Arabidopsis thaliana: one gene and its partner. The protein of the gene in region 1 binds, or shares a complex with, the protein of each later gene. Each region holds a gene or a part of one and is shown in the gene's direction. Other genes may lie near its edges.

Region 1 (9,649 bases):
TTTATCTAGAAAGATGAACTGATGGTTACATATAAAACTAGTCGTTGTCTGTCAGTGTCCACTAAAGACTATTTTCTTCTTTTGATATACATTTCTAAATATACAACAATATCATTTCTCCGAGGTTTGTGAATTGTTTAGGTATAAAATAGTTTTCTACAATAACTTTTGCTATCGGGTGCAAAGACATTCTACCATAGAACGAGTTTAGTATAGTGTCATTTCGTAGATTCTTTATTCGGATTGGTTTTTCAATATCAACAAAATTCTGGTTCATTTTCTTCCCTCCTATAAACGAAGGTAAAAAGAATGAAGAAAAAAGAAAAGAAAGAATATTTTGTTAATGCATTATCTAACGTGTTAATGTGTCACTTTCATTTTTCTTAATCGTTTGTTGAAAACTTTTTGCAGTTGATTTCAGGAAAACGGAACACACATATATATATATATATGTCTTTTATTTTCAATACGGACCAAATCCATCATTTGCTAATCAGTGAGAAAACTAAATCGTGGTCTACTAGTTTATATAAATTGAAAAAAGAATCATAAATAATATGTCACATATCCAACCTAAAGATTTATGTCTATACATGTAAAAATGTAAATGAGCATATTCCCAAATTTCCCACAAGTATATAGCACTACCTACACTCACGCTTCTTCAAAGTGAAGGCGATGGTGGAAAAAAGCGTAGACGATGACTTGATAAGATTGACTGAAGAAAAGAAAAAAAGTTATCATAAGTCAAAAAGCATGTCGTTAGAGTTTGACGAGATCCCATGCATGATTATATTGTCGGATACAATTGTTTGAACAATACGGTTGGAAAAATCTACCGTAATATGAAGACTTGAATGACATAACTAAAGATTGTACCTTGCAAGCCAGCAATGTGTTAATGATATGAGTAAGGGTGCAGAGGCTGCGGCTGGTGGCTACTGGCTAGTGATAAGCAATTTACGATGTAATGACAGATATATCATAGGAGACTAGGAGTTATATATGGTATATATAGAATCTAAAATAACATATTTATCAATTTACTATATTAAGTTTTATGGTTCCAAACTCAAAACTAATTGTTTATGAGTAGATTTGGTTTATATACTGTATATTACTCATATTCTATTTCCACTTTTAATGTGGGATTTCTCATAAACTATATACAGTTATATTTTTAATTAATGAAATAACAATAATACAGATTTAAATGTAGCCTTAACTATTTTTATGAAATTTAAATGAAATTTAATTTAAAAGATTGCATTCAGAATACAAAACTGTAATATTCTGTAAAATATTGATAGGTACTACTTACAACATAGGAAACATATTTAAAGATATGTTATATAAACTAAAAATAGTTTAAAATATCAATATATATATATATATATATATATATTACGAAAAGAAGAATTAAAACAGACTACACACATAATAAAATTTTAATAGTAACACTTACAAACATATCCAATAATATTAAATAAAATTAATTCATTATGATCTTTATGTTATTTCTATATACTCAAACCAAAAAAAAAGAAGTAAATGATTCAAAATCCAATCATAATTATTTTTCAAATTCATTAAAATACAAGAAATTTCATATTAAAAAAATAGATATTTCTTTCAAAGATTTATATTCAAATTATAAATATATACTAAAACGCTAAAAAATTAAGTACATGCTATAATCTTTTCCATTATTTTTCTAACAAAAGAAAGTTATATATGGGCTAAACTTAGAAGGAAAGCCCAAGAGGCCAAGACTATATAAAGATTCATGACCCGAGTTTAAGATCCGATTTCAGAATTTGGGACTAAAGGAGGACAACGACAAGCGCCGGGAAAAAATCGAGAGCGACAACAATGGCGCCTTCTTCGTCGAGCGGTCTCACGTTCAAGCTACATCCTCTGGTGATGCTTAACATATCCGATCACTTCACTAGGGTTAAAACTCAGCTTAATCCTCCCGCCGCTTCTTGCGCCACCGGGAATGGCTCCAACAACGCCGACGCGATGTTACTGCAAAACCCTAGGGTTTATGGCTGCGTCATCGGTCTCCAGAGAGGTCGTACGGTTGAGATCTTCAACAGTTTCGAGCTGATATTCGATCCTGCTCTTGATACTCTCGACAGATCCTTCCTCGAGAAGAAGCAAGAACTCTGTAAGTTTACTTACACTCGCTCACTTTTGTTGTCGATTGTTTGATACTCTTGCTAATTTGTGAGTTTTGTTATTTTTTAGATAAGAAGGTGTTCCCTGACTTCTACGTATTGGGATGGTATTCTACGGGAAGTGACGCTACCGAATCTGATATGCATATCCACAAAGCTGTGAGTAGTGTAGCTTTAATGTTTAATATAAATTTAATTGAATTTAGGATTCTCATTGTACTGATTTGTTGAGGTTTTCATCTACAGCTGATGGACATTAATGAATCTCCTGTGTATGTTCTTTTAAATCCTGCTATCAATCATGCACAGAAGGATCTTCCTGTGACTATCTACGAAAGCGGTAAAAATTGGTTATTTGCATCACTGATTGTCTTATTGTTTTATAGATTATAATCTTGCTAATCCTGTCTTTTTGATTGTTTTCAAAATTTGAAGAATTTCATGTCATTGATGGAATTCCTCAGTCGATTTTCGTGCATACCAGCTACACAATTGAGGTATGTGTTTAGGCCACTTGATCTGTAATCTATCTATGTGATATGAGAGTGGACTTTCAATAACATTGCAATGATTGTAAACGCGTGCAGACAGTTGAAGCTGAAAGAATATCTGTTGATCATGTTGCACATCTTAAGCCATCTGATGGAGGCTCAGCTGCGACTCAGTGTAAGCTTTATTATCACTTCATATTTATCATAATCTGTTCTTTCTTTTTCATCTGCATGGAATTTTAGGTTGATTCCTCGATTTTGTGCAGTGGCTGCTCATCTTACTGGAATACATAGTGCCATCAAGATGCTTAATAGCAGAATCAGAGTGCTATACCAGCATATTGTCGCTATGCAGAAAGGTATATTCTTGCTCAAGTCCCCACTCTCGGTCCCTCTTCAATTTGTTAATCAAGCTTTTGTGACCTGTCCCTTGATCTTAGAATATTTCTATGTGTTTTCCTACGGGGAAGAAAGAATTAAAAGGGTGTTAGAAGATGATTTTGAGCAAGAGTAATGTGGTACTAATGACTTATGTGATTCTGCATCTAGGTGATAAACCTTGTGAGAACTCAGTTCTGAGACAAGTATCTAGTCTGCTCAGAAGTTTGCCTGCCGCAGAATCAGAGAAGTTCAATGAAAATTTCTTGATGGTAAGTAGTACCTTACCTTTTTCTAGCAATGTTGGTTAAATAAAGTGGCCTTCGAATCTCTTAAATTCTTAATGTAGCTTGTTGTTGTGAATGATATCTTTATAAATATGATGTTCTCTTCTTTTGCAGGAGTACAACGACAAATTGCTGATGTCTTACCTAGCAATGATCACGAATTGTACCAGGTATGTGCTCGACACGCTATTCCATTTAACTATTTGAATAAAAGAATGATGGACATGCATGCAAATCTTTTGCTTGATACAATGCAATGTTTTACGATACCAAGACAGATGAAATCACCAGTACTTGGTTGAGGCTGACATTGAGATAGTTTGTTTTATTTAGATTAAGAACTAAATCTAGGACCTTGCTCAATTATCCTTGTTATAATTAAGATACTGAGCCTGTAGTAGCTAAGGGAATATAAGCTTCTTTTTAAAAAAAAAATCTAATCTTGTGCTACACCTTGACCAATCCATATGTCAATTTCATTCCAACGAAATGTCCTGAAAGAATCCTTTGTATATTTGATCTCTTACTCTCCTTTTTCCCCCCAAAATGCAGCAACATGAACGAGGTGGTTGACAAATTCAACACTGCATACGACAAACACAGCCGAAGAGGTGGTAGGACTGCGTTCATGTAAAGATTAGTTTCAATGTAAAAAAACCTTTTCTTTCTTTTGGTGGTCTGGTCCCTAAGTGAAAATTTAGAACTCTTTTAAGGCATTTCACTTTTCGGAACCAAACAAACAGCTAGGAAGCTTTTCTTCTGTTTAAGCTTTGTCTAGACAGAAGCTAAGTTTAGGCCTAACTAAATTTTGCGACAAGACTGTAAAAACAAAACAGCTTTTACCTTCTCTCAATTTTTCATTTATTCAAAAATTTGAGCAATCAGTGAACAAAGAGATTTGTTTCATATCTGTCGTAATCTACTCAACATCTCTCTGCATATCAATGAGCTCGCTGACAAATCAAGTCCCTGTTGTGGTGACACTGGTTCCACCTTCGGCTGTGCTGCTAACTGCAACATTAGGCCAGTTGGATCCCCAATGTCAGGCGCCTGCAGGCTGGTAAGCTTCTCTTGCCCAATAGTTAGACCAGGCATTGAAAGATCAGAAAGCTCAGATTGGCCTATGTAAACGGAGAAACCTGTAGGATGCCTCAGGTGTGACTGGAAGTCAAATAGAGATGAGTTGGCTGTGGCCAGTCCCTCAGATCTACTGTGTGGCATTGGATAGTGCACATTGTGGTTGTGGGTCTGAGTCGCTAAACTGCCTTGGAGAGTCCCTGAACTGCCTGCACCGACGTGGCTGCTGTTGCGTGCTGCTGGTACAACGTGGGTGTGCTTGCCTATATAAGTTGTTAGTACGCTCTTGAAGTCATCAGAGGCTCTCTCTACATGCTTCGTTACGGTACATCCATTAGCTGTGCATTTATAGTAGCTCCTGAAAACATAGAAAACTGATTTTATTAAATTCAACAAAGGGATAGCAGCAGAACAGAGCATTTGGATACAAGAACCTTGGATTCGGGTTTCCTTTAACGACTTTTTGCCCATACTTGCGCCAGCGATAACCATCATCGAGGATGTCAATGTCACTTGTGGTCTGCACCACAACTCTTGGCTCACGGCTGGCTCTGGTTGATCCACTCGTTTCTGTTGCATAAGCTTCTAGTTTCCTGATACGGGAATGCCATCAGAGCTCAGAAGTCAGAACGTCTTGTCTTTCTAAGTATTATAATGGTTACTAGAGCAACTTTTTATACCTTCTCTTTGATTCGGACTCTTCTACCTCTCCATCGTAAGTCAGGGAAACACTCATGTGGGACGTGCGATCATCTTCGTTTTCATCTCTATATAAGGCATCAGCTGCTGCATCACCATACCCGAACTGATGAGTCCCGTTTTGAACCTGCATTGATCCTGAATGGCTTCCGTATTCGAGCTCTGCAGATACAGGTGATGTCCATTCTATGTTCTCATTGGTTCCAGCAAAACCTTCGTATTCGGTTGCATCTATTTGCATGTCTTGGCCAGTACCGGATGATCCAATCCCTGACCGGCGGTTAGGTGGAGGTTTGCTGTGTATATGATCTCCTGTGTATATGATCTCTATAATATGACCTTCCCGAGACCGTTCAACCTTCTTCTTGGCCTCACAATTCGGGTGCGTGCACTTGTAATAGCTCCGCGGATACTCACTTCCTTTAACTAGCTTTTGTCCATATTTTCTCCAGTTGTATCCATCATCTGCAGGTGCACAACAAGCCATCGAGTCTCCTAAACCGCCGAGCTGTCTTTCTTCATAGTCTTGGGAATCATCGGGTTCTAAAGCGATGTTAGTAGGATCAAGGCCACTTCCTGAAATGGTTTGGAAGGCTAAGGATGTGGTAATGTCGTCAAATAACTCAGCTTTAGCCTTATCAGAAGGTACTGATGAGAGCTTCCCGGTTGTTGGAGATAGCTGAGCTTACAAATGATAAGAGATTTTAGAGCACTGATTCACGAAAGAGAGAGACCATAATGAAATGTTGAAAAGAAAAAGTTACCAAAGGGTTTGAGAGGAAAACAGGAGACTCTAACAGAGTTGCAGGACTAAGACCAGGAGAAGAGATGGTTAAAGATTTCGACTGAAGAATATCCTCAGTGTTTAACCACGGTGCATTAAACCCGGATCTCGCAGCAATCCTTTCACGAAGAGCTCCTCGTGAACTTTCTTGAAAGGTGGTTTGCAAAGAATCCTCATTCTTGATGTAATTTAAAGAAAACTCTCTACCAAGTTCCGCTTTCGATCTCTTCCTGTGGTTAGTAGTACTACAGTCGAACCATTCTCCCATTACAGCAGCTTTATTATCAATACCAGCCATTGCAAACCCAAGTTTCAGCTTTAACTTGGGCTCAAGCTGAAACGTGATTAGGTGTTACATATATGACACAGAGCAGTTAACATGGAACTAAAATCTTAAAAAATTATTGTAATTAAAATGGAAACAGAGCAGTTTTTTTTATATGCAATAAGTCTTTTGATGGAGATACAAGAGTGATTAATACCTTATAACAATGAAGATAAAAGAGTGCTTAATACCTGATTTACTAATATACATGCAATAAGTGACACCCATCAGACTTTTTATTTCGCCGTTTAGACAGTAAGAGAGATCGAAACATCGAAACATGGACTTGTCTATGTCTCTCTGTTTTTATGGGTTGATCACACAAAATGATCAATATAATAAATCTTCTGTAGTAGAAATCTCTTGCTCTTGCTCTCTCTCTCTCTCGTTCTTGATTATCGTTTACCCTCAACACAATGAAAATGTATATCGGCAGAAAAACTACAAGAGATTTACACAGCTTGGTTAGATAAAATTTCTCCTTAACTCTCTAACAAACAAAAAAGTTTCAATTTGTTTTCTCCAATTGTGTTAATTAATCAGTTCCACAAAAATCACCAACAGTTTAACTATTTTTAGAAATAGAGTTTTGTGCAAAACAACCTTCAACTTTATAAACGTTTTCAAATTATTTTTTATTTTTATTTTTTTGGTAAAAGTAGACAGTGCTGTGCCCAATGACGTAAATGTTGAAGTTACAAAAATAGATGATTTTGAAGATATTTTTACACAAAACCCTTAGAAATATACATTATACTTTCTTTTCTCTAAACAGACACCTATAAGATATGAAATACCATTTATTTGTGTTTAGTCTTCTTATGTATATGGTAAGCTATATCTTTCATATAGTCTAATCAGTGCATGTCCATCAATAATACCATGCATGAGCCTTCCTCCAACTATTCACAACAGGAGCTGAATATTAAACTGGCAAATTGATGTTCTACCATATATACCTATTATATCACAACCAGCATAGTCTATAGTGGTTTTACTATAGCTAATGTAATTAGTACTAATTAAAGCTAGTTGTTAGAAAAACATGAGCAAAAAATCTAATTTGCAAACTATATTTAGTATATAAGTGATTAAGTTACAATAATCAATTAATAGAAATACTTTTTTCAATAATATTCCAACCACAGAAAAAACCAATTTCTATCATTTTGGCAGATAAACTTGGTTTCGCTAGTTTGTTAAACGAACTAGCAGTATAGCTTATTTGTTTTTGTTTATATATAGAAGAAACTCAAGCCAGTTGGGTTACCTATCTTGTTTATGAATTTTCGTTAATGTTTGCAATATTTCTGATTTTTTGTGAAAGACTAAATTGTAGAATTGTATCCACATTTTATTCTTTCCGTTCATGTCGTAGATTTTTAGTTTATGTTTCGGTCAACAAGTCGTGGAGTTAAAATATACTATACAATAAACTGAAAGTTCAAATGGAATGGGGTTCACCAACTTTTTAATTTACTTATTCTTGTGGTCACTTTCTTTCAAAATGTACTAAATAATTTTATATATTCTCATAATGTCTAAATATAAACAATAAATATGAATATGAAAATAAACATAAATATGAAAATAATTTTTCTTTTATAAAAGAATTAATAAACTAACGATAAGTGATTATAAAAAATATATGTCTTTGGAAACCAAACAAAATAGTTTAGGCTTCAATCCCATTAAATTCTCATCTAAAATTGATGCATGTAGCATGTAGATATGATCATGACAAAACGATGATTTACAAATTTTTATTTTTCATTTGTTCGTCATAAATATTTGATCGTTTATGATAATATTATTATTAGACATGACTGATTGTTATTGCACAAATAATTTACATTGTATATAGAATTTGCATCGCATTTTTATTTGCGTATCAATGGCTGACACTGAGATTTATGAGGCCACAAACAATTTCGGTTTTGGGGGCTTCATGATCTATATATAAATTTTTTTTACCGTTTGGGCCTCAAAAGCTATACATACTACTTGTTAAAATTTGGGATCCAACACCGATGTTCCACTAGGATATGATCAGTTACGGATTATTTATTGTAACTCTTGACAATATTGCACAAAAAATTTCTTGATTGTAAACATTCGGGTTGCAACGTCAGACCATCTCACTTTCTATCCTCAAAATAAAACATTTCCAACATGCCATTTTTAAAATTCTAATCTCATAAGCATGATATTATTTGGACATGAAGTGTATACAGTTATAGTGTACAAGCAGGAGAGTAGAAGTCACGCGTCTTACAGATGAACTTAGTGCTAGTTTACCAAAGAAGCTGACGTGGCGTTTTCATGCTTTCCGTCTTTGTGCTAATAATATATGGTAGAAAAAACTTTTGAGACGCAAATAAAAATGCGAAAACCCCAAAATCGTAATCAGCAGCGATCGAGATTTTCGCCGCTGAAATCTGGAGACTGATTATTACAAACTTGTTCGTCGTGTTCTTCATCGGAGAGACACTAGATCGGAAAATTTAACCTCGATTTGATTGCCGTTGCCGTAACATTTGACTGTTGTTTTGTGGTGGGGAATTCTAGGGTTCTTGTTTGATGAAGAAGAACTGAAGTGAAAATGACCATTAAAATCTCCCATGAGATGATTGTGTCCGTTCATTCTTCGAAATCGGACAACGGAATCGAATGATCGTCATATTCTGTAAGAGAGAAGGTTAGATCTTCACCGAATCTGGAACTCGAGATCCATCGTTTTGTTCGATTTTCTATTCTTTCGCACAAGGATTGGTCTGAGAAGAACAAGTTCAAGTTAGAAGCTGTTGTGTTCTGTCCGGTGAAACTTATTTGAGCTGCTGCAAAAACTTCAAAAGTTGTTACTTTTTCTGAAATAACTTAAGCTTCTTGGTATTTTGAGACTAAATGGTTTCACTACTCTTGTGAATTCCTGGAAATCAGAACTGTTATTAGTTTTTTTTGTATATTTAGGGACAAAGATGCATGCTAGGCAACGCAATGTTGGGAATGGGTACAGATCTGGTTCTATTGGGATGGGTATGTCTGGTTCTAGAATTTCTCCTGAGCGTCCTATGAGAGGACATGGGTTCTATGGTTCTGAACACCAACACCGTGGCTTTAACCGTGGATATGGACGTGGAAGGGGACGCTCTAAATCATACCACAATCAGCTGCCTCCGCCTCTGCCTCCTCCACCGGTGCAGCGTAGAAGCAGTGGCGGTGACGTTTTCATGGAGGCAGGTCGTCTAGCAACAGAGTACTTGGTTTCTCAAGGTGTTCTACCACAAACTGTGCTTTCCAGTAAATGGCAGAATGGTAATTTTAGGAAGCAAGCTGGAGAGTTTCAGAGTTCCAGGTCTCAAGAAGAAGCCCGAATGGATGTTTCAGCTCCAGCTGCAGAGAAAAGGAGGTATATTGATGGCTATAGC
Region 2 (10,262 bases), 5.2 Mb from region 1:
ATAGAGATCGAAGAGTCCGTTAGGTCACAGTCACACGTGAAGGAGGTACGAGGGAAGTGACACGTCGGATGTAGCACTAAATCTAAGACATAAGATAACACAAAGTACAAAGGGAGAAGAGTGGCCATTTCCATGCCAGCTTGTCTCACTCCCATTCTTGCTTTTGTTTTTTCTTTTTCATGTCGTCCACTTTCTCATTTCCAATACTAGAAACAAAAACGAGCATTATTGATCTTTTAAATTGTTACAAAATAGTATATGGGTTACCTTGTCGTTTTCTCCTAATTATTTCGGTAATTAATAGTTTAACTATGCCACACCATAAACGATAGAAAAGTGGGAAAGCTAGCTAATATAATAAACTGGTGTGGCCTCCTTAAAAAAACAAAAAGGTAACTTATGTGATTACTTTTAAAAAGTTTCCAGAGTGTAATACTTTCTCTAAGTTTTTTTCATTAATATTATCAAAATCCTGAAATCTTAAAATTAGGTTGAGAAATGTTCCTATAACTTTAGGAAAATAAAATAAAATCTAATTTAATGTTATAGTGATTCTTACTAATTGTTTTGTTAAGCAAATTCAATTACGGATAACTGATCCACAGAGGAGAAACCTAGTTTACAAACGTTTGTCAATTTGCCCAAAAAAAAAGGCCGAATAGTCTATTTAAGAATATAACCTATATGAGACTAAAAAAACAGAAAATTTACTAAATCTTTTTGATAAACTATACTAAACTTGAAAAGCATGGGGAAGTTCTCCAATCATAAATATTAGTAACCCTTTATGATTTCTCGTTTTTGTCCTGCAAACTATTATTATATACAGAACAATATGGATTTGATTGGTTTCAATAGACGATCCTTGTATATTACATAGAATAGTTTTCTAGTTCCATTACAATTTCCAAATGATTTGTTACAAAGCTACAAGATTATTCGAAATAGGATTTCATCCATAAGAGAGAATGGTGTGGTCGACGCTACAATGTTGATTTATTGGTTGTGGTTTGCATCTTGGGGATGTCAAATCCTAAGTTTCAAGTTCTTGTAAAAACGTTTTCAGGTTTCTTTAATATATTTTAATATTAATGTAAAAAGAAAAGATATAGCTTTTGTACAAAAAAATTTGTTTAATCACTATGTAGGAGGATGCGATCAAATTCATGGAATGATGTATTATTAGCTTTTCTATCCTCACTCTAAAAACAATACTATAGTGAGTTAAATAATTTGATCATTTCAATGTAGATTAAAATTTTATTAAAAGAAGAAAAATTTAAAAGCCTATAACAAAATAAAAAAGGAGGCTCGAGGTATGATGGGTGTAGCAGAAGAGCTGGCAACAGCTATCGACTGAGTGATTACGAACTCAGTACTCAGTGTTCTCAGCTCACACACTCTTTTTTTGTTCTCTTTCTTTTGGACAGCTTTCATTTTCTCTTTTCTTTTTTCTATTTTGTTTCAAAATTCCATCCATATTAAAATAGGCCTGATCATGAGAATAAAGGAAATACTAATGATGAGTTTCTCAATAATGCAATAAGATGCAATTATTATGAGCTATTTACTATTGAAAATGAGCAAATAAATGTCAAAACACAATCTGGTTAAGTTAGAGCAACTCCATTGTATAGGATTCATGTAGTTTCTAAGAAAACAAAATGTATTAATATTTTACTTTTACATCCAAAAAACCAACTTATATGAGTAATAGAAACGATCCTAATATTAGGAATTTTAGAGATTTTCTCTCATCTGTTTCTTAACTTTTCAATATTTTTATTTTTTAAAATTGTATGAGTTTCTACTAAGAAACTACTGCTGGAGTTGGTCTTAGCTTCCCAATGCTTCTCCACCTATATATATGCATATCTCCTTCTTAAAACTCATCTCACACCAAAACACAAAGCTCTCATCTTCTTTTAGTTTCCAAACTCACCCCCACAACTTTCATTTCTATCAACCAAACCCAAATGGGTCCAAGTTCGAGCCTCACCACCATCGTGGCGACTGTTCTTCTTGTGACATTGTTCGGTTCGGCCTACGCAAGCAACTTCTTCGACGAGTTTGACCTCACTTGGGGTGACCACAGAGGCAAAATCTTCAACGGAGGAAATATGCTGTCTTTGTCGCTGGACCAGGTTTCCGGGTCAGGTTTCAAATCCAAAAAAGAGTATTTGTTCGGTCGGATCGATATGCAGCTCAAACTTGTCGCCGGAAACTCGGCCGGCACCGTCACTGCTTACTACGTAGCGTTTTCAAACTCACACTCACTCATAATGTTGCTAAAACTGAAGAGACTCTTTTCTAAATTTGTTTGAACGTACATGTTTGCAGTTGTCTTCACAAGGAGCAACACATGACGAGATAGACTTTGAGTTTCTAGGTAACGAGACAGGGAAGCCTTATGTTCTTCACACCAATGTCTTTGCTCAAGGGAAAGGAGACAGAGAGCAACAGTTTTATCTCTGGTTCGACCCAACCAAGAACTTCCACACTTACTCCATTGTCTGGAGACCCCAACACATCATGTAAACATCCATCGATCTATTTTCTCTAACAATAAGTGAAAGACGTAGATCTTGACTCTCTTGTTCTTGTCTCTGCAGATTCTTGGTGGACAATTTACCCATTAGAGTGTTCAACAATGCAGAGAAGCTCGGCGTTCCTTTCCCAAAGAGTCAACCCATGAGGATCTACTCTAGCCTGTGGAATGCAGACGATTGGGCCACGAGAGGTGGTCTAGTCAAGACTGACTGGTCCAAGGCTCCTTTCACAGCTTACTACAGAGGATTCAACGCTGCGGCTTGCACAGCCTCTTCAGGATGTGACCCTAAATTCAAGAGTTCTTTTGGTGATGGTAAATTGCAAGTGGCAACCGAGCTCAATGCTTATGGCAGGAGGAGACTCAGATGGGTTCAGAAATACTTCATGATCTATAATTATTGCTCTGATCTCAAAAGGTTCCCTCGTGGATTCCCTCCAGAATGCAAGAAGTCCAGAGTCTGATGAACACATATTACCTCATATTTCTCTGCTTGTTTGATGCAATTCTTAAATTCCTCTGTTATTCCATTGTACATTGTCAAGATCAATAAAGCATTCCTGGTTTCAAAATATAAAACAACTGAAATTAAACCTTTAAAGAGACTACTATTGTCTTTCACTTACCAATAAAGGACAATCAGAAAAATATGGAGACATAAGAATCAACAAGTCTAATGCATAGGTACCTCTAATGTTTTCGTTTCAGTTCTTTGACCTACAACTACAAGTACCTAGATGAACAAGCTCTGTGTAAACAAGTCAAATACGCTTAAACCCTATATACATGACTTTGTTACTAACTGATTAACACTAACAGCTAAACTCAGCTAACAAAAGTTGAGTTTCTTGCTCATTCTTTGGATCAGCTAGTGGCGTCTCAACGTTGTTAGAGCATGTATCTAAATCTGTAACTTCATTTGATGCCCCTTTAGCCTCAATAGCTGAAGCATTCTCCTCTATATTCTTCTGAGGATCTGTATGCGTGGTTTCAGGAGTTCCTAGAAGAACAATGAAAGAAAAGAGACATCAATTTCTAAGGCTACCAATTCTGACTTTATAATTTCAATACAAGCTAATATCATGCATTTATACTATCTTACAATTTACCAAGCCACAGAAGACAGTATTATTATCTGACTAGTACTGACATTGAATTATACCGTGTGCTAAACATGAATATAAAGAGACTAACCATGATTATCCTCTGAGTTCTCTTTGAGATATGAAAGCATTCTTCTGTAATTTACAGAACCTGGCACTTTAAATAGCTTGCGCCGGCAGCACAGCTGTTTCATGTCACAACAGGGAAAATGTCAAAAACAGATTCTTAAATAAGGAACAAGACTGCAGCTTCTTAAAAAAAAACAGATCATACAGAAATTTTGTTGCCACTGGATGAAGTCATCTTCTTGAAAGGGCTATTGTTTCCATGAGCTTTAACAAAGCTATTGGCAGATACGGTTTCAGGAAGTCGGTAATTTGCTGCCATCAATTCACCTCTTTCATCCTTAGGATCTTTTGCATCACCATCTCGGGTAACATCTGCAGCTTCCATCAAGTAAGGAAGCATTCTTCTATAGCTCACAGAGCCAGGGTTCTTGAAAATCTTTTCCGGATGACGAATCTGTATACATATCACAAGAAGAAAATTAAGCAACCAACGAAAAGCCAATATTGTAGTTTAAACGCATCATTTGCTATAAAACCATGAGTAAAAAACATACCACTTTGCTGCCGAGATTGGTACCAACTTTCTTCCCAGAGACCTCACTGATCTCTTGATTGATAGAACCTGCTTCATTTTTCACCAAAGAAAGCTCACCGGTGAACATTCCTAAATCCGGTGGCGTCGTTTGTGAGCATTCCACTACTTCTAAATCACCTCCAGTAGCCACTAATCCATCAACAAGATATTTGCTTCCTTCTCTCATAACTGTTTTCACCATTGTGTAATCATTATAGTTTCTAAACAGATATTGAAATTTCCTAATTCCACCTTCATTATATCAACATTCTCCTAAATTTTCTTAGAAAAACTTGTACAAGAAAAAGACCTTAAAATAAGAATTACCATTAGAATTCGGAGTATCGCAAGGAGATTCCACATTTAGCTCCTTGGTTAGATTTCCCCCTTTCACATGAAAGTCCCAATCACTAGAGATGGAACTAGGAGAGAATACGCGTCTGAGACACAGATTCTTCACGGTGACACGAGAACAAGTTCGGGGCATTTGAGTAACAATTTTCCCTTTGATCGGTGACGCATGATGGTGACGAAGATCCGTGACAATGTGAGACAATGGGGATGCAAATCGAACGGAGGAACGATTGCTCTGAGTTCGTAATTTGCTTGCCATAAGGTTCTGAGAGGTAGTATAACGAACTGAAGAAGACGAAAATCGCATCTTCTTCCTCAATATAGGATCTGATTCGGCCATGGTAGAACTCGCGCCAAGAGAGAGCTACAGAGAGAGAGAGAGAGTGTGTGTGAGAGTGAGAGAGACTGTTTGTTATTTTGGCGGGAACAGACCGGGTGGCTTTATGATGTTTGGCGGGAAACTAAGGCTTAGTGGGCTTGGCCCATTTATCCTCTTGTGTTTGGTCAATTTTTTGGTCGGTTTAAGTAAACCGTATTGAAAAGATTATTAAAACCTGTAAATCTCACAGAATTTATTTTTCTTTTCCCTGGAGTGGTTTTGGGAGTAGAATTGTCATCTTCGCAAAAGCTTCGAGAGTAGTGCAATCGAAACAAGTCATGGATCTTTCGCCTGTTAAGGAAGCTTTGGCCGCCAAATCCTTTGACAAAATCGCCGATATCTGCGATACTCTCATGCTTCAGGTTCGTAATTTCTCTCGCTGTCGTTGTTTCTGATGTTCATTAGGGTTTTGTGAAGTGGATTTTGTGGTGTTAATCGTTCGATTTATCGCTTCTTAATTTTTTTTATAGGTTGCTTCCGAAGGAATTGAATATCATGATGATTGGCCTTACGCAATCCATCTTCTGGGTTACTTTTACGTTGACGATTGGTGAGTTTATTTTCTTCTTTGATGTATTTGTTTGCGTTGTGAACCTAAAGTTAGTTCCTTTATGAAATTAGAGATTGTTTCGTTGAACTCTTGTGAATTTTAGCGCGTCAAAGTTGTTCTTACTACTTCGATTGCTAGGTCCTAGGTTGAATCTAAGGTCTAAAGTCTGCTTTTTACATTACCTTGTTTCTATCCAGTGATTTGAAAAATTAAAACTTGACACAAGTTAGTAGTTGTTGAGACCCATTTAACATTTTTTTCCTTTGTGTATTGATAGTGAGTGTAGTATGTTGAAACTATTGAGTTATGGTTGTGCCTTCTTGACTATGGATTTGGTTTTGATGTTTTGCTGTGCTTGTTTGGAAATACTGCAGTGATAGCGCACGTTTCCTCTGGAAAAGGATACCTACAGCTATCAAGGAGAGGAAGCCTGAAGTTGTTGCAGCTTGGGGGATTGGTCAGAAGCTGTGGACACACGACTATGCAGGTGTATATGAAGCTATTCGGGGTTATGATTGGAGTCAAGAAGCTAAAGATATGGTTGCTGCCTTCTCAGGTAAATTTTTTCTCTGTTTATGACTTCTTAGCTAGTATGAATTGGTTTCTTGAACTAAGCTTGTTGATTGCTTATGTAGTTGTGTACTTTTATTACTTCATATCCCTCTTTAGGTTTTGAGCTTTGATATACATATTGAGATCGAATAGTTGTTTTATTGTTTTAACTTGTGAGGCCTAGTTTAGGATTTCTGTTATGCACAGAACCACCTTTCATCTTATCATTGAACTATTGGAACTCGAATTTGAATCAAATTTCATCAATGTATGTGCCTTATCACTTCTTCATTAGAAAGTAGTTGCTTCTGTGGTCTAACTGAGAGAGAGGTAGGTAGACTCACACAGGAGGAACGAGTAAGCAGTTGACAGACTTTTCCAACCAAATGTCTAAACGTTGATCTGAATTTTGTGAAGTTGTACCTTTTTCCACATCAATTGTTCAACACCTGACCTTTATGGGTCACTTTCCATCAGATTCTAATTCTATTTCTGAATTGGTTTTGTTGTAGATCTTTACACAAAAAGGATGTTTCAGCTTTTGTTGTCTGCCTACTCCACAATTACCATCCATGATTTAGCTCTTTTCCTAGGGATGACGGAGGATGATGCCACAACTTGTAAGCTTCTTTCTGCAATTTCCTTTGCTTACAAAAGATTAAGTACCTCATTTCACATTTCTATTGAATTCTACTGAATTGATTCTTATATTGATACTTTTGAAAAATGTCGAAGAGTTTGTGGCAATGTCTTAGCTTAGTGTTATTGTAGGCATGAATCTTATGACAACCATATATGTTACGGAATCAGAATTAACAGTATAATTGTTTTCTTTATTGCTGGATATATACACAGATGTTGTAGAGAATGGATGGACAGTGGATGCAGCTTCTCAAATGGCGAGTGTGAAGAAACAAGCTGTTAAAAGAGAGCAAAAGGTGGATTCATCGAAGCTACAACGCTTGACGGAGTATGTGTTCCACCTTGAACATTAAAACTAAGTGCCGATCTCCTATTAAGATAGTGAAATTCTAAGAACAGAATTCGTTTTTGAGAGATTTCACAATGACTGATTCTAAGTTGCAACATATCTTGACTCTTTGAGTATATGATGAATAACTCCTACCAATTTTACTCTTATAAGATCAGTTTACACCAACAGGCGAACTAAAACAAACATTTAAAAGATCAGTTTACACAAAAGACGAACTGAAACAAACAAAAGATGAAGTCAATATTATGAGCCAAAAAGGACACAGCCTAAATAACACACGTTTTCAGAACAAAATTAGGCAGAAACAAGAGAAGATCATTTTAGCGACTATAACAAGCTAGCCAATCTCTGAGATAAAAGATGATAATCTTCAAACCGGAGAGGTACTCTAGAAGAATAGGAGCCATTTGTCGATCTAGTAGATGACAAGCTGGGGTTATCAGAGATTAATAATTCTTAATTTATTATTAAATTATCGATAAATGAACAATTTTAAATTTATTGAGAGATTTTACTATTCTTTTATAATTTTTAAAACTGGTTTATGTGAAAAGCAGTTTTTGTAGTTATAATCAACATCCTTTTAAAAATAATGAAAAATATAAAAAGTAAATAATTATTAAGTCTAGAAAACAAAAAGAAAAAAAAATTGATACTGTAGAAATATTAGAAATAAACTCTTCAAAAGATTAATACAAATTTTAAAAAACAAATATTAGTAGGAGTAATAGTTAGAAATACTCAAATGTAAACATAAATTTGTATTAATCTTTTATGTTTACGATAGGTTTTGGTGAATCGATAATTTGTTCATATTCCCTATCCCGTGTGTTTTTTGTTCATATTTTACTCTGTTATATCAAAAACCTAAAGCCTAGATAGTCTCATTTCTCAAGACTGATCCTTTTGTTAAAATCATTTACGCTTTGTGACTTGTGAAGAAGAAGATACATGCATCCTCTGCGCGAGTGAAAAAAATCTCACCTCTCAGTTTAGATTTTCCCACCAATCTAAAGACTGAGAAGGAAGACTTGTTGGTCCCAAATCATTTGTAATTGAATATAATAGTAACAAATTCAAGTTTAAGAAACTCTAAAATGTCTGTTTTAAAAAAGTGAACATGTCAAATTGAAAATCAATTATATAAAATCAAATGACATGCATTTTGGTTGAAAGAAAAACAAACTTCTCCATAAAAAGCCCAAAAACAAGCTAAAAAGAAAGCCATAAACTAAAAGTCTAGGGTTTTGGCGACATTTGTGGGTTTCTAGGGTTTTGGCGACATTCGTAGGTCTCTAATTCGGCGAGAGCACATGTCGCAGTTTTCAGACTCTAGTGATGACGATTCTTCAGGCACCATCCCAGATTTGAGGGTTGATTCTCTGGTTGAAACCTTGAAAACTCTTCTGATGAAAAAAAACTGAAACACTGGCCATGAAGCTTCTTCAGGTCGTTCAAAATTTCATTTTAAATCTGCAAATATGTTTGTTTATGAGTTTTTATATAATATATCTGTTTTACTGTCTATGTAATGTGTGAATCTGTATTTTTTTTTTTTATCTTTTGTTGATATAAAATATATGGATTCCCGTTTTTTGAGTCCACCACTAGAGACTAAGAGTATCTCCAACAAACACTTAAACCCTCAAATTTGAAGGTTTTTTGAACTCCAATAAACCCTCAAACCCTTATTTTTTAAAGGTCACACCCTCAAAAAAATTTTCTATTTCATTTTCGTCCTTATAATTTATATATTTTATAGATAGTTATATTCAAGAGTATTTATAATAAATGACTATAGATTTGAAAAGAATGTACAAACTAACCTTGAGTCACAGTATCTTCTCGGAAACATGTTGGAGAACACGTGTAATTACGTAAATGTCCTTTGTAACATGTTATTTTTCCGAAATACAGGCGATAACATAATATCCTCTTTTTATCTTGTTATTTTCTCTTATTACATAGTATTTGTAAAAAACACATGATATTTTTTGGAAAAAACATTCTATTCAGTTTAATATCTCTTTTTATCATGATATTTTGTAGTAATACACGTTTTTTATTAAGATCACACGTGATTTCTTTAAAAATATATTCTTATTTTTTAGTAATACATGGTTTTTATTAAAATCACATATAATTTTTATTTTTTAAGATTCTGTTCATGTAAAAGAATTTCATAATAATGTTTTTTCTTAAAAATTCATAACGTTTTTTGAAATAGCATGTTTTTAAACTAAATATAACATGTGAAATTTTAATGTTACATGCTATTTTGAAAAATTACACGGATGTGTTTCGTTTACTGTTCATCTTACAACAAATGAAGGGTAGCTTTGTTATTTCCTTTTTTCCGACAACGTGGGTCCATGGTTATTTTGTAACAAAAAACTTTCTCTCTGCTAGTTTCTTAATTTGTATGTTTTATTTGGTTATCTACTAATATTACCCTATATTCAATTCAATTATATTAAATATATCCATATAATTAAAATACATTAAAATTAAAATTAAAATTATTAAAATATAAAATATATTATATTTCAAAACAAAGTTTATACAACAATGATATTACATTGAGCAATTTAACACACATTAACATTATCATTTCAATAATAAAATTATACATGAAATACACGAGTTTTATTTTATGTTTCTTTTTTAATTTATATATAATTTTGTAGTAACATGTAAAGTTTTGTTTCTCTAATATTGTTTGACATTATTTTTTTGAAATGTATGTTTTAAATTTTTTTATGAAGTTTTATCATTAGAACAAATGATTGTCAATATTGAGGGTGTGTTATTGGAGTAAGTGACCATCAAACCCTTATTTTGAAGGTTTGACATCTTTAAATTTGAGGACTTTTTGAACTCCAACAAACCCTTATTTTTTGTGGGTGTGAATAGTGTACCTTCAAATTTGAGTGTGCACTACTCACACCCTCAAAATCTTTTCAAAATTTCATTTTAGTCCTCATACTTATTTTTTTTTTAAATAATTCTATTACATTTAATTTTTACAAGTATATTCATATAAATTCAAATATAAAAAACATAACATTTAAAAACAAATTTATACAACAATAATATTACATTGAGCATATATGGGAGCATTATAGACATAACTACATTG

The links.
Region 2: CSN6B (region 1) and COP9 share a complex: the UniProt entries of both Arabidopsis thaliana proteins name them as parts of the CSN complex.

The regions. Positions count from the first base shown.
Region 1 is NC_003075.7:13,353,357-13,363,005, forward strand, and holds CSN6B (COP9 signalosome subunit 6B), read left to right. Parts: upstream 1-1,635; 5' UTR 1,636-1,872; coding exon 1,873-2,170; intron 2,171-2,250; coding exon 2,251-2,339; intron 2,340-2,426; coding exon 2,427-2,520; intron 2,521-2,615; coding exon 2,616-2,677; intron 2,678-2,767; coding exon 2,768-2,846; intron 2,847-2,937; coding exon 2,938-3,030; intron 3,031-3,220; coding exon 3,221-3,321; intron 3,322-3,450; coding exon 3,451-3,506; intron 3,507-3,888; coding exon 3,889-3,970; 3' UTR 3,971-4,239; downstream 4,240-9,649. Other genes in the region: WRKY34 (WRKY DNA-binding protein 34), read right to left, coding at 4,240-4,771, 4,848-5,006, 5,094-5,791, 5,877-6,194; AT4G26450 (uncharacterized protein), read left to right, coding at 9,200-9,649. UniProt on the Arabidopsis thaliana protein: Component of the COP9 signalosome complex (CSN), a complex involved in various cellular and developmental processes such as photomorphogenesis and auxin and jasmonate responses.
Region 2 is NC_003075.7:8,129,911-8,140,172, reverse strand, and holds COP9 (COP9 signalosome, subunit CSN8), read left to right. Parts: upstream 1-5,184; 5' UTR 5,185-5,305; coding exon 5,306-5,389; intron 5,390-5,497; coding exon 5,498-5,577; intron 5,578-5,951; coding exon 5,952-6,133; intron 6,134-6,641; coding exon 6,642-6,749; intron 6,750-6,984; coding exon 6,985-7,124; 3' UTR 7,125-7,293; downstream 7,294-10,262. Other genes in the region: XTH15 (xyloglucan endotransglucosylase/hydrolase 15), read left to right, coding at 1,977-2,252, 2,341-2,534, 2,613-3,012; AT4G14120 (uncharacterized protein), read right to left, coding at 3,361-3,548, 3,743-3,836, 3,926-4,174, 4,275-4,483, 4,622-4,988. UniProt on the Arabidopsis thaliana protein: Component of the COP9 signalosome complex (CSN), a complex involved in various cellular and developmental processes such as photomorphogenesis and auxin and jasmonate responses.